2 linked regions of the Caenorhabditis elegans genome follow. The protein of the gene in region 1 purifies or fractionates together with the protein of each later gene. This does not show direct contact. Each region holds a gene or a part of one and is shown on either strand. Other genes may lie near its edges.

Evidence for each region.
Region 2: the proteins of unc-3 (region 1) and jmjd-3.1 purify together in Caenorhabditis elegans (affinity purification with western blotting, with the first as the bait; one study listed by BioGRID). This does not show direct contact.

What each region holds. Positions count from the first base shown.
Region 1 is NC_003284.9:14,771,877-14,776,750, reverse strand, and holds the start of unc-3 (Transcription factor unc-3), read right to left. Parts: upstream 3,214-4,874; 5' UTR 3,161-3,213; coding exon 3,075-3,160; intron 96-3,074; coding exon 36-95; intron 1-35. UniProt on the Caenorhabditis elegans protein: Transcription factor. Involved in motor neuron fate determination and maintenance, acting as an activator of gene expression in a subset of motor neurons. May act in concert with GFI1 homolog pag-3 in motor neuron fate determination.
Region 2 is NC_003284.9:8,569,290-8,575,600, forward strand, and holds jmjd-3.1 (Lysine-specific demethylase jmjd-3.1), read left to right. Parts: upstream 1-1,759; 5' UTR 1,760-1,784; coding exon 1,785-1,833; intron 1,834-2,105; coding exon 2,106-2,669; intron 2,670-2,809; coding exon 2,810-2,980; intron 2,981-3,033; coding exon 3,034-3,428; intron 3,429-3,475; coding exon 3,476-3,706; intron 3,707-3,757; coding exon 3,758-4,469; intron 4,470-4,515; coding exon 4,516-4,691; intron 4,692-4,748; coding exon 4,749-5,341; intron 5,342-5,401; coding exon 5,402-5,602; intron 5,603-5,653; coding exon 5,654-5,747; downstream 5,748-6,311. UniProt on the Caenorhabditis elegans protein: Histone demethylase that specifically demethylates trimethylated 'Lys-27' of histone H3, a mark associated with transcriptional repression, thereby playing a central role in the histone code.

The sequences.
Region 1 (4,874 bases):
ACCAGGGATCAAAAATAAGAAAATTAAAAACTAACCTTGTATTCGACGTGTCGATGATTGGCCACGTGCTCCGCTGGTTCTCATCTTTTACAGACCTGAGTAAGGTATTCGAGTCAGGAAAGAACATTTGCACAGCCAGCGGCCCCTCGGGAACCGGCCTCATTAGACACAGATCCACAAGCGTGCTCGGCAGAGCTTCGCAAGCTCCGCCTACTGCGCACTAGGGGCCAATGGGTGGGCACACAGTAGGAAAAACATTGAGGGGAGAGTAGCTAAAAAGGAATCTGGCGACGGGCCGATTTGACTGCGGCTCCGGCTTTACTGATGTTGGAGTAACGATGAAGCACAGATAAAAGCATAGACAAAGTTTTGGTTTGGCGGGGAGAAAACCCAGCCAAAAACATGTGATGAACTAGGGGGTGCTTCAATTTTTCAACTCGGTGAAGTTGGGCTCGAAAGATAATTATTTCTCGTGCTTCTCCCATTGCGATCTCATTTAAAACGCTACCGACTTTTTTTTTTAAGCAGATGAAAATTATATATTTTTCATGTTTTATGAACATAGTAAATATTTTGTTCTGTTACGTAATCTTGGCTAAGAGGTTCCCAAAAATCAAATATATATATATATATATATATATATATATATATATATATATATATATATATGCTTATTGAATGTATTTTCGTTCCGTAATAAAACTGTAATTTATTTTAGAAAAAACATCTTAACCATATTTTGATACTTGTGTAAAATTTGATAATGACCAACCCTGTACTATTTTTATTTTTAGGCCTAAAAATTATAATTCGATATGCAAACGAAATATTGTTTTCAAAGTTCAGATCCGCCATGAAACATTTTCAAAAAGTGTACAAAAAATCTCATTACGAAAATGGGTTTAATTTTTTAATTTAATTTAAAACGAAAATGGGTTATCTGAAATTCCTAAAAAAAACCCTTAAAAATATTTTTTGGGATAATGCTATTTTGTTATTGTATAGCTGCTATTATGAAAAATTTTTATATTTCAATTCCCTTTAGATTTCGTGATCTAGACAGTAATGTTATTTTCTGAGTTTTTGATAAATGTTTTGAACGAACATTTTTACGAACATAACAATTAATAAAATCTACTTTTCGAGTAGCTAACATAAAATGCAATTATCTCTTTAATGAAATGAAACAGACTTCATGTTATGTTTAATAATTGATTATTGGAAATTGTAATATTTGTTGTATAAATGTTCAGAAGACGATTCCTTGTCTTTGCTCCTTTGCTCCTACGCCTTCACCCATTTCAGAAAAAAAAAACTCAACACAAAAAGTGAAGCATTCTACTATCTTTCCCAAACATGGTGATATGTGGTGTGCTCGTGGGCTCCTCACTTCACTCTGTCATATATGTAAATGGTTTGAAATCCGACAAGACAGCTGCGAACTCGTATAACTGGTATGTGTGTTTGTGTGTGGGTTTGTGAGTGCTCTGCCCCGTTTTCGAAATATGCAAATATTTCTGGACTAGCAATAAGAGATATATAACCGAAACGCGCGAAACGGAGATGGCCTCTCTCTGTCCACTTGTTTCCAGTTATCAGTTTGTAGCCATCTACGCAATTTGTAACATCTCAATAGCCCAAATCTCATCATTCACCATGTACGGGATTCTAGATTCGGAAGGAATTGAGAAATTTATGTAAAAACAAAATGCTCAAATCCAAGCAGAAAAATGAAAGAAATATGGATTACAAAAACGTTTGGGAACAACAAGATGATGTACTTTTTGAATTATTTCTAAAAGTTCATCTTCAACATCAGCACCTGAATCATAACAACGTATGACGCTATAGAAATGACGTTATACTTACTAAGTTAATTGTTAATTTAAGTGTTTCAAACATAATTCTAGACTTACTAAACTCATCGCCAATAAAGCTCAAGAATGTATCGCAAGCCATGAACACCTTACAATTTCCCCTTTGGGAATGAAATCCCGCTAACGTCATCAAAAAAAAAGGAGTTGGGTCTCTTCTATTTCAAAAGTGTCGTCCTAGAAGTTCTATCTTACCTTTGAAGGTCCGCAAAGACACCAGAATTGCTGAAAAGCAAGGATTCCAAGGTTTGAGTATTCATCAGATAATAATATTAACGCTCACCAAGCAATACTAATAAGAGTGGCTGTTATGGACAAAAAAGAAGGATGATAGTGGCTATCAATTCCGAGGGTGGGTTGTTAGGCAACGAGCCCGAGTACGGCTAATTGAAGCAAAGTCAAAAGAGAATATACAACTGTTGAGTTTGAGGATAGACGGAAAATATTATGAGCGAAGAGATATTTAGCTTGTGATAGCTAGTATACAGCTATTGTCATAGATTCGTTAGAATGACTAAAACTTTAGCCAATAGTGCATTGAGAATGAGGAGGCTTTCAAACATAATAATGAGGTATGAATCACCTTAAAGATACACATTTTGGTATTCAGGAATATGGTATCAAAATGTTTTTAGAAAATAGACAGGTTTAGAAAAGATGCTTACAAGGTGTATTTTTGTGATTTAGGGGGCTCATTCCTAGTTAAGAAATAGTTGTATATCTATGTAGTTGTATATTATAATTTCCAGATTATTTAACCCATTGAATGATATGTTTAGTATGAAGTATGCTTGGAAATAATATTAACCTAAGCTCAAAAATTGAACAAATTTCTTTGTAATGGTTATTAATGAATAACCTAGATATGATGGCATATAATACACAAACACCTAATCCTACAGGGTGGTCCATAATTATGGACTTGTTTTTGAAATTGTGTACCAAACGTAATAAATTTGAATTAACTTCTAGTAGAACCTCTTCGACTTTTACTAAGACAAATTTAATTAAGGAGTTACGTCTGAACGGTATCAAACCCAAAAATAAATAAATTTTATTTTAACAACTTCCAGTATTCCGGAGCCTCAGATCAGTACAGCTCCCATACCAGATTCTCTTTATTTATTTATTAAGATTCTGCTCAATTTTCCAGCATCAAGTTTTTCAAGGCAGCCTAAAAAGCCATGTAAAACAACTTACGGTTGAATGTGAAGATTTAATACAGGATTATAAGGTTCATCATAGAAGTTCATCTGGCCAGCTCTTAGCGGAGCTGTCAAACTCATGCCACAGTTTTCGGATCAAGTGGGAGGCAACAACACCAGCTACACAACCGACTCTGCAAAAGATTAATCTCTTATATGTCACAAGCGGTTTGGGTCCGACGGCCTCCCGTCCAAGTACGCCTGATAGATGCAACAAGGAGAGGAATAACGGAGCGAGTGTGAGGATTGAGCCAGCTGACTGTGAATTATGGTTATGGAGATATGCCTGATTAGCCGGAAGGCACGGCGCGAAACTTTGAAAATCTCTACAGCAAAAAAATGGGGGGGCAGCTGGGGGAAGATTGTTCGCACCCCTTTCACGTTCAAGCCTGGTGTGGTGGCTCACCAAAAATATTACAGAAAATAGTTGTATGACACACAGAAAAGTCAAGTGAAGGATTTCATCAATCATCCTAGAAAGCATAGCATACCACGCCTTGGTCCTCTTTTGTGCATACTTCTTCACAATCTTCAACAATTGAGACGTGAGAGGTCAGACAGACAACACTGAAGAAGGCAACACAAAAAAAACGGAAGAAGCACAAAAAAATAAAGAGATGGGAGAGGATGAGAGGATAGCGAAGAAAATTGATGGAGATTCGTGTGTCCTATTGCAGATTACGGTATCTGGAATCAAGAATGTAGAGTGTTTGGCTATTTGTGACCATCTTCTTTTAGGAACAAGCCAGGAGCCAGCATTTGAAGTCGTGCAAGTGAAGTGTAATATTGCTCATAGTTATCAACTTGGCGAAGTTATCACAATTGCTTTGATAAAACATTTATATACACAGAATATTGTTCTCAAGTCGGTATTTTTCTTTTCACTAAAGCAACGATGTTTCAGATCTACCGTAGTTGCTAAGATGTTTCCAGGTGTGAGTGAGTGCGCAAAGTTCGTTTTCAGGGATGCTGGAATTATCAAAAATATTTATCATGGTGTTGAATTGAAGCTGAAATATTATTATATAAGTTGTGTTATATTGGGTTTTATTTTATTTGTAGTTTCGGAACGCGAGGTCTTGTAGCCACTTGAATGCATAAGGTTTTTCTGCAATTAAAGTAGGTATTCAGTTGTGTTGTTCCAACTTCAAAAAAAAGTTGCACTGTTGTAAACTGGACCCCATAATTATGAACCACCCCGTTTGTATAAAGAATATTGTTTATGCACGTGGTGCCAGGCTGTCCCATCACGGTTTGATCTACAAAAAATGCGGGAATTTTTCTCCCAAAAAAAAATGTGACGTCAGCACATTTTTAACCATGAGAAATCAGTTGAGAACTCTGCGTCTCTTCTCCCGCATTTTTTGTAGATCTACGCAGATCAAACCGAAATAAGACACTCTGACACCACGTGTTTGTACAGTTTTCCAGTATTTGCAGTTTGTAATACAAATATTAAATACAATAACATAGCTTTAGATTTGTTGCATTCATTTGAAATTTTTTCTGATAATGGTGGGGAAATTAATTCTTCCCTTTTAAAAATGCTTGACAGAAATATTTTAATACACAGCTTCAATCGGCAGACTAAACTTAAAGAGCAGGTTTACGACAGCGTTGTTTTTTTTTTCTCGTCCTTCTATTTTTCGACATCGGAACGTCTTGTACCATCCAGCACTTATTTCACAATGTCAACTCACTTTACATATCAACGCTCACGAAACAAAATTTTACGACTGAAACGCTGAAACGACTGAACTGTGTGCTTGTAAAATTTCCTTTCATTATTCTATAA
Region 2 (6,311 bases), 6.2 Mb from region 1:
TCCCATCTCTTCCCCTCTTCAATTCATGTGCTCTTTCGCAAAGTGCTCCTAAGCCTTCTACTCTCGCTTTCACTCGTCCACAATGGCGGTCAACTCGGTCGATGGAAGCAGGCCACACACACACACACACACTCACACATACAACCGCCTTCTGCTAGCCCGTTGCAATTTATTGCGTTCATCCGTTTTTCTTCCCATTTTTTTGAATCAAACATCAAATAGGCCAACCAATGAAAAGGGACGGTAAAAATTCACTGCTTTATGAGCTAATATATTTTATCACCCCGTTTGTTTTGCGCACCGCGCCAAAGAATGAGTCGCACAATTTAATGATAGGCATTCAATTTTTGGCTACGTTTACAATACCGTATATCGCATACTTTTATGCAGATAATTTCATAAAGTAAAGCAAATCATTGAAATTCTCCATGCCATGTTGAAAATAGCTTTGAGCAAACTAGTAGGAGAAAGTAGGAAAACGTACTATGTTGCGAAAATAATTAATCTTAACTATTTTTATCTTGATTAGTTTGATCAAAAACGTATATGTTGTACACTAAAAGAAGCTACTTAGTTTCATATGTTAGACCAAAAAAGCGGTGTACTTTTTTCAATTTCACACACGTGTTGTTTCAAATTGTTTTATTTTTGATTCAAAAGAACCTAGCAAATTTCAGTTTTATTGTCTAATTAATGTTCAAAAGTAGATTTGTGAATGTATTGCAATGACAACATGACATATACATTAAATATTGGGCAGGCCACATCTTATTAGTCCCTTCACTCTTTCTTCTCACGAGCTTAGTTATTTACTCGACTGGAGCCAAATAGATTGCGTGTTCGGCCGTGTTGCGTTCTTTTCACACGTGGCTAGTCTCAATATATCTAACCAACAAGCAAGCAGAGAAGCAACGTCTCGTTCTTTATTTTTCCTCGAGCGCCGTTCCTCGTTTGATATTTATTTACGTGCGTGTGCACAACGCACAGCCATCTATAGCTAGTCAGTGTATGCCCCGTCAACAACAAAAACAAAACGAAAAAAAAACCACGCTATCTTTTCTACCTCCTCGTTTGACGTCGTTCGTCCATACTTCATTCATTGACATCGTGGGATGGGCAGTAAACAAAACTACTGTAAATGCTAGTTTACTATTTTGTTGTATTTTGTATTCTAGTTGTGTTTCTTTTCTAAAATTAACCCTAGACAAAAATGAAATGGCAGCTGGATTAACCAATAATACTGTGAATGCATAGATAATGCCAAAGTTCATGAAAAGGGCAGATATATGTACTTTAAGTTATGTAAAGATCCGGGAATGTCTACAAATGTGCACGTACTCTCTATTAATAGTTTGATGGGATTCTAAATTTGAGATTTAATCAAACTAAAATGTTTGCTTTTTCGATCTGCTTTTATCACTTCAACTCAAGCTTTAAAAAATTATTCAGAGCCTGGCAATGTTCTCACCTACGCATCGTGTTTCCTGCTTATCTCCTCATGATTAACTTGATTCAATAAATGGATTTGACCTGGTTTATACATGTGTATTTGAGTAAACTTAAACCCTTATTTTAGATTGGCACCTTTTCAGTTACATCTTAATTATCTACGTCATTATCATTGAAGTGCCTAACTAGAACTTCGGCTTTCTCACGTGCCTAATTAAATTCTTACAAATTTTTTGTCCGAACTGTTTTCTTTTTTTTTCAATAATCGCTTCTTGGATCTACCTACCCACCTATAAACTCATATTTACAGTTTGTTCCCCAGCATTTACCATCGTATGCAAGGGAAAAATTCACACTTGACTGGAATAACTGGAACTACACATTGTGAGTTACTTTGCATTTTTGCTATAGTGACCAGTTGGCGACCAAAAGTCGAACTGAAAAGATTAGTGCATTCATGCGAAAGTTCTACATAAGATTCAATTACATTAGTCATATTTTAATACGGATATGACTTTGATATTTAAAGATTAACAAGCAAGGTATCTAATTAATTAAGCACGAGTGCACGTTTCCGCAAATTTATACACCTAAAAACGCGGGCAGCATTCCTCTTTTCAATTTTTGCTACCTCATCTTATACTACTTATGTTTAGTTACTATTTTCGGAGCAAGCCCAAGAAGTATGTCATTGGTTAAAAACTCACAGGAAACTCCACCATTTCCCGGAATGAACTCCACCATGAGGCCAGTAGAATTCAACTCGACCAAGCAACCGGAAGCTCAGACTATTGATCAAGAGCAAGATGCTCCTAAAAGCTTTGATTTTAAAAATCAAACCCTTGGCGTGTATTCTGATACTGTGTTGAATCCACTCAAAAACGATAGTTTCAAGGATGAGCTGGTTGTAGATGTTCAGAAAAATCTTCCCATTGAATCGTTGACAGTATCTCCAAAGAGTTCTACTGACCAGAATTGCAGATCTACCAACGAGGCTATACGAATTGCAGGATTTGATAACTTTGCTGATCAGCTCCAAGAATCCAATGGCGTTTTCGAAGCATGCCCAGAGGCCCATTCAGAACAAGGAAATGAGAGTGAAGATTTTAAAGATTTGATCAATAGTGAAACTGAGTGCAACATTGAAGACGTTGTTCTCCCGACAGTACACGTTTCTACGGATTCTGAAGAAATCATTTCGGGCGATGTGATTATGAATGGTTAGTAGATTGTTTAAGTATAAAATATTTTTTTCATTCTTTGATGTAACTATGATTTTGATAGCTTTTGAAAAATTGAAACAAAATACATAGTTAAACTAATTTGGAAACATTCTAATACTTACTGGGAACATTTACAGACAGCAATGTAGTTTCAAAACCAAAAAATTTGGAAAAAGTCGAAACGCCTGATGTTCTCATTGGCAGTGGTTCAAACGACAAGCTCTCTGATATGACTGAACAAATTGGCAACAATCAGCATCTTGAAAAACTGATCTCGGAGAAAACTGAGAAATCACTCAGTGACAATGGTGAGAGCAACAGTTACCAGTTATTAATTTCTGAACGATAATATTTTTTTCAGAAACGACGTTGAAACCTGTGCCTGTGCAGCATACCAACAGTGTCGGAAGTTCGATTGGGACAACTTCTGGAGATTCAGAAATTTCTGACGATGACCAAAAATCATGGAGTCCTAAAAACGAATCGCTTGATTATCAACCTGCTTCTACTTCAAGCGAATTTACAGAAACAACCTCTGTGGCTAATCAAACGGAATCTAATGCAGGAAGTGTAGATGATTATTGCCCCCGCACGTCGATTGACATTGGATTGGACTCTTCCGCTCCTTCATGCTCTTCTGATGCAACAAGGGAGCCTACACCAATAAAAAAGCGTGGTCGAAAGAAGAAGGAACAATCTGCAACCGAACCCCCTATACCCAGGACGAAAAGAGCATATACTAAAAACCCAAATACGGTAAATTTCATAACTAATCTATTCTCAGTTTAATGCATAATTTACAGATCCGAAAACGCCGCATGAAAAAGAACCAATCTGACGATGAGGAAGATGATGGACCACCAAAAAGACGGACGATTAATTATCAAATTGAATTTCGTGATGCTTCTGGGGCTTGGACTATGGCTCAGCAGTTGATATTTGTTCGTGACTTCATGTCTAAAAAGAATGATAAAATAGTAAAACTGTCGAAATCAAGGCAAGACAGAGTTGACAAATTCATTCTTCAATTTCAAGTCAGTCCGCATTGAAAATTATTGTTAAAAAACCAAAAACTAATATTTCAGAAAACCCAAGATTCTCACTACATGCGTGCTGCCATTCAGCTGAATACAATTTTCCCGGATCAAGGAAACTATCGACATTGTCAGGATTATTTGAAAGATCTTACCATTCGTGTAGTAGTACCGCCAAAGCGAAGAGAAGGAAAACGAAAAAGTGAAGTTCCTGCCAATCCACCAGCCCTTTTGCTAACTGGACCATTATATCTCAACTTCTATTGTACATCACAAGAAGTCCTCGAAGCGGCAGGTCAATTACTCGAATTTCATGTCAACGCCGTTTACAAAGATGAACGACTACAGCCTCCGGTTGCCGATAAGACACTTTTGGATCTGGAAAGAGCGATGTATCACGAGCAAGTCAAAGATCTTACTGACTATCACAAATACCGCATACCATGTCCAACTCTCACAGTCACCACCAAAGAAGAAGTATTCTCGTCGGATTTTGAGCGCATTTTGAACTCAGCGAGCATCACCAACATTAGCGGAATCGCAAAGGCTCTGAACATCAAGACTGAACTGTTTTCACTGCCAGAAATTGCAAAGTGTCATCCTGAATTATCCATTGATATTCTTAACCAAGTACCACAAAGTGCCGATGGAAACTGTGATAGTAAAGGAATTCGTTGTTGGGATGTTACATCGTACTCTTCTAAGATGAAGCTGCAAGATTTCGAGAGGTACATGCAGAAGGAGGAGTCTGAAGCAATGCAAGGTAATATTGACTTTTGAACATAAGATTTTTAATCTTTGTTTTTAAGCTTTCGAAACGATTTCAAACTGCACAGCAAAAGAATTAGAGAGCACATGCCAGAAATTGAAAGCTGAGAGAATTGCAGCTCAAAACGCAATTGAGGGCTGTGATGAAACAATGCCTTGGATCAAGTTTGGAACAAATATCGACTTGCTTTCCGAAAATTTCAAGAAGCAGATGAATGTTAGTGATATTCTACATTTTTCAAAATAATTTATCTAATTCTCTATGTTCTTACAGGAAATCGAAAAGCTGCCGACGTTCCTGCTACCAAACCGTGAAGGAAACTTGCTCAACTACGCAGGAGTAGACGTTCTCGGCATCAATACTGTACAGATGTACGCGAAACCAATCGGATCACGCACTCCAGCACACATGGAAAACTCACTCATGGCTAGCATCAACTGGAACCGCGGTCCGGGAACGTGCGTCTGGTTTGCTGTGCCGTACGAGTATTGGGGGCAGCTGGAGTTTATGATTGGAGAGCACGGGCACAAGTACCAGGATCAAGACTATTGGCCAAGCGAAAAGGAATTACTGGAGCTGGGAGTTCCTGTAATTAAATTCGAGCAAAAAGCTGACGAGATGGTATATGTCAATACTGGATGTTTCCATTGGGTGCAGAGCAATAGCTTCTGCATCAATGTATCTTGGAATGTCGGACAGCCAAACTTCACTCAGCTGGCTACCTCAATAGTGGCTCACGATCACAATATGCTCATTGGGAACCAGGCGCATGTTCCATTGGTAAATCTCGTTTGGAATGCTGCACGTCAGAGGCTTTTCGTCGACGATCCCGAGATGTATAAAGCCATGCGCGGTGTCATGATCAGGTTAGTACATATGATAATAAAAATTTGCTATTTTCTAAACAATGCTCAATCTAATTTCAGATCACTTGCCCATTCAAAGTGGTACTTTGATCTTATTGATCATCATGACTACATTGTTGGAGACGCTAGCGAATGGAAGCTTGCTGATCGCGTTCAACGATGTAAATACTGTACATCTGAAATCTTCAACATTGTCAGATGGTACACCACAGAGGACTTATCAGTAGATTCGTACCCCTTCTGCTCTCATTGTCATGTAGCGTGAGTTTTATTCAGGATCAATGAATCATCAATGAACAGTGTGTTTTACAGAAACGAATACAAAAAGGACAGGTTCCTCAAGTACACATGGTTCTTTTCATTAGAAACATTGGTTAATATTTTTGATGCCTACGTTCCTAATTAAATATTTATCCAACAATGGTGCCTTCTAATATGTTTTCTAGGATTTTTCCTCAAATTTTAACGTTCTTTTATGATGTTCTATTAGTTTTTTACAGCGTTTAAATGCTGTTTTTCTGTATTTTTTTTCAATTTTCATTTTTAGCATTTGTTTTCCCGAAATCAACTTTCAAAATTTCCAACTCAAGCCTTTCTATCTCAATTACATCCCTAATTTCTTTCGAAGAAAAACGTACCTCGCCCCTTAATTATGATTCTTTCCATCAAATGGTCCCTGACTTCTCACGTTTATCCATCACACTCCTCGCTCTCGCTATCTCTGCAATTATCGGTGTATTTTATCAAAGAATGTTATTCAAAGAATGTTAAAAATATTGAAAATTAAATCATTTACTATATATAAAGCGCGTGTCCTTCTGTCCCTATGTAGTTTGATCTTTGATCTTTGGTCTTTGAACTCTGTAGTTTGTAGTCTCAATCACCTAAGAGGGGTCCTATAGCCCCGCCCCTTTTGTGACGTCATCACAAATTGGCGGGAAATTCAAATTTTCTGAGAAATCATTTTGGC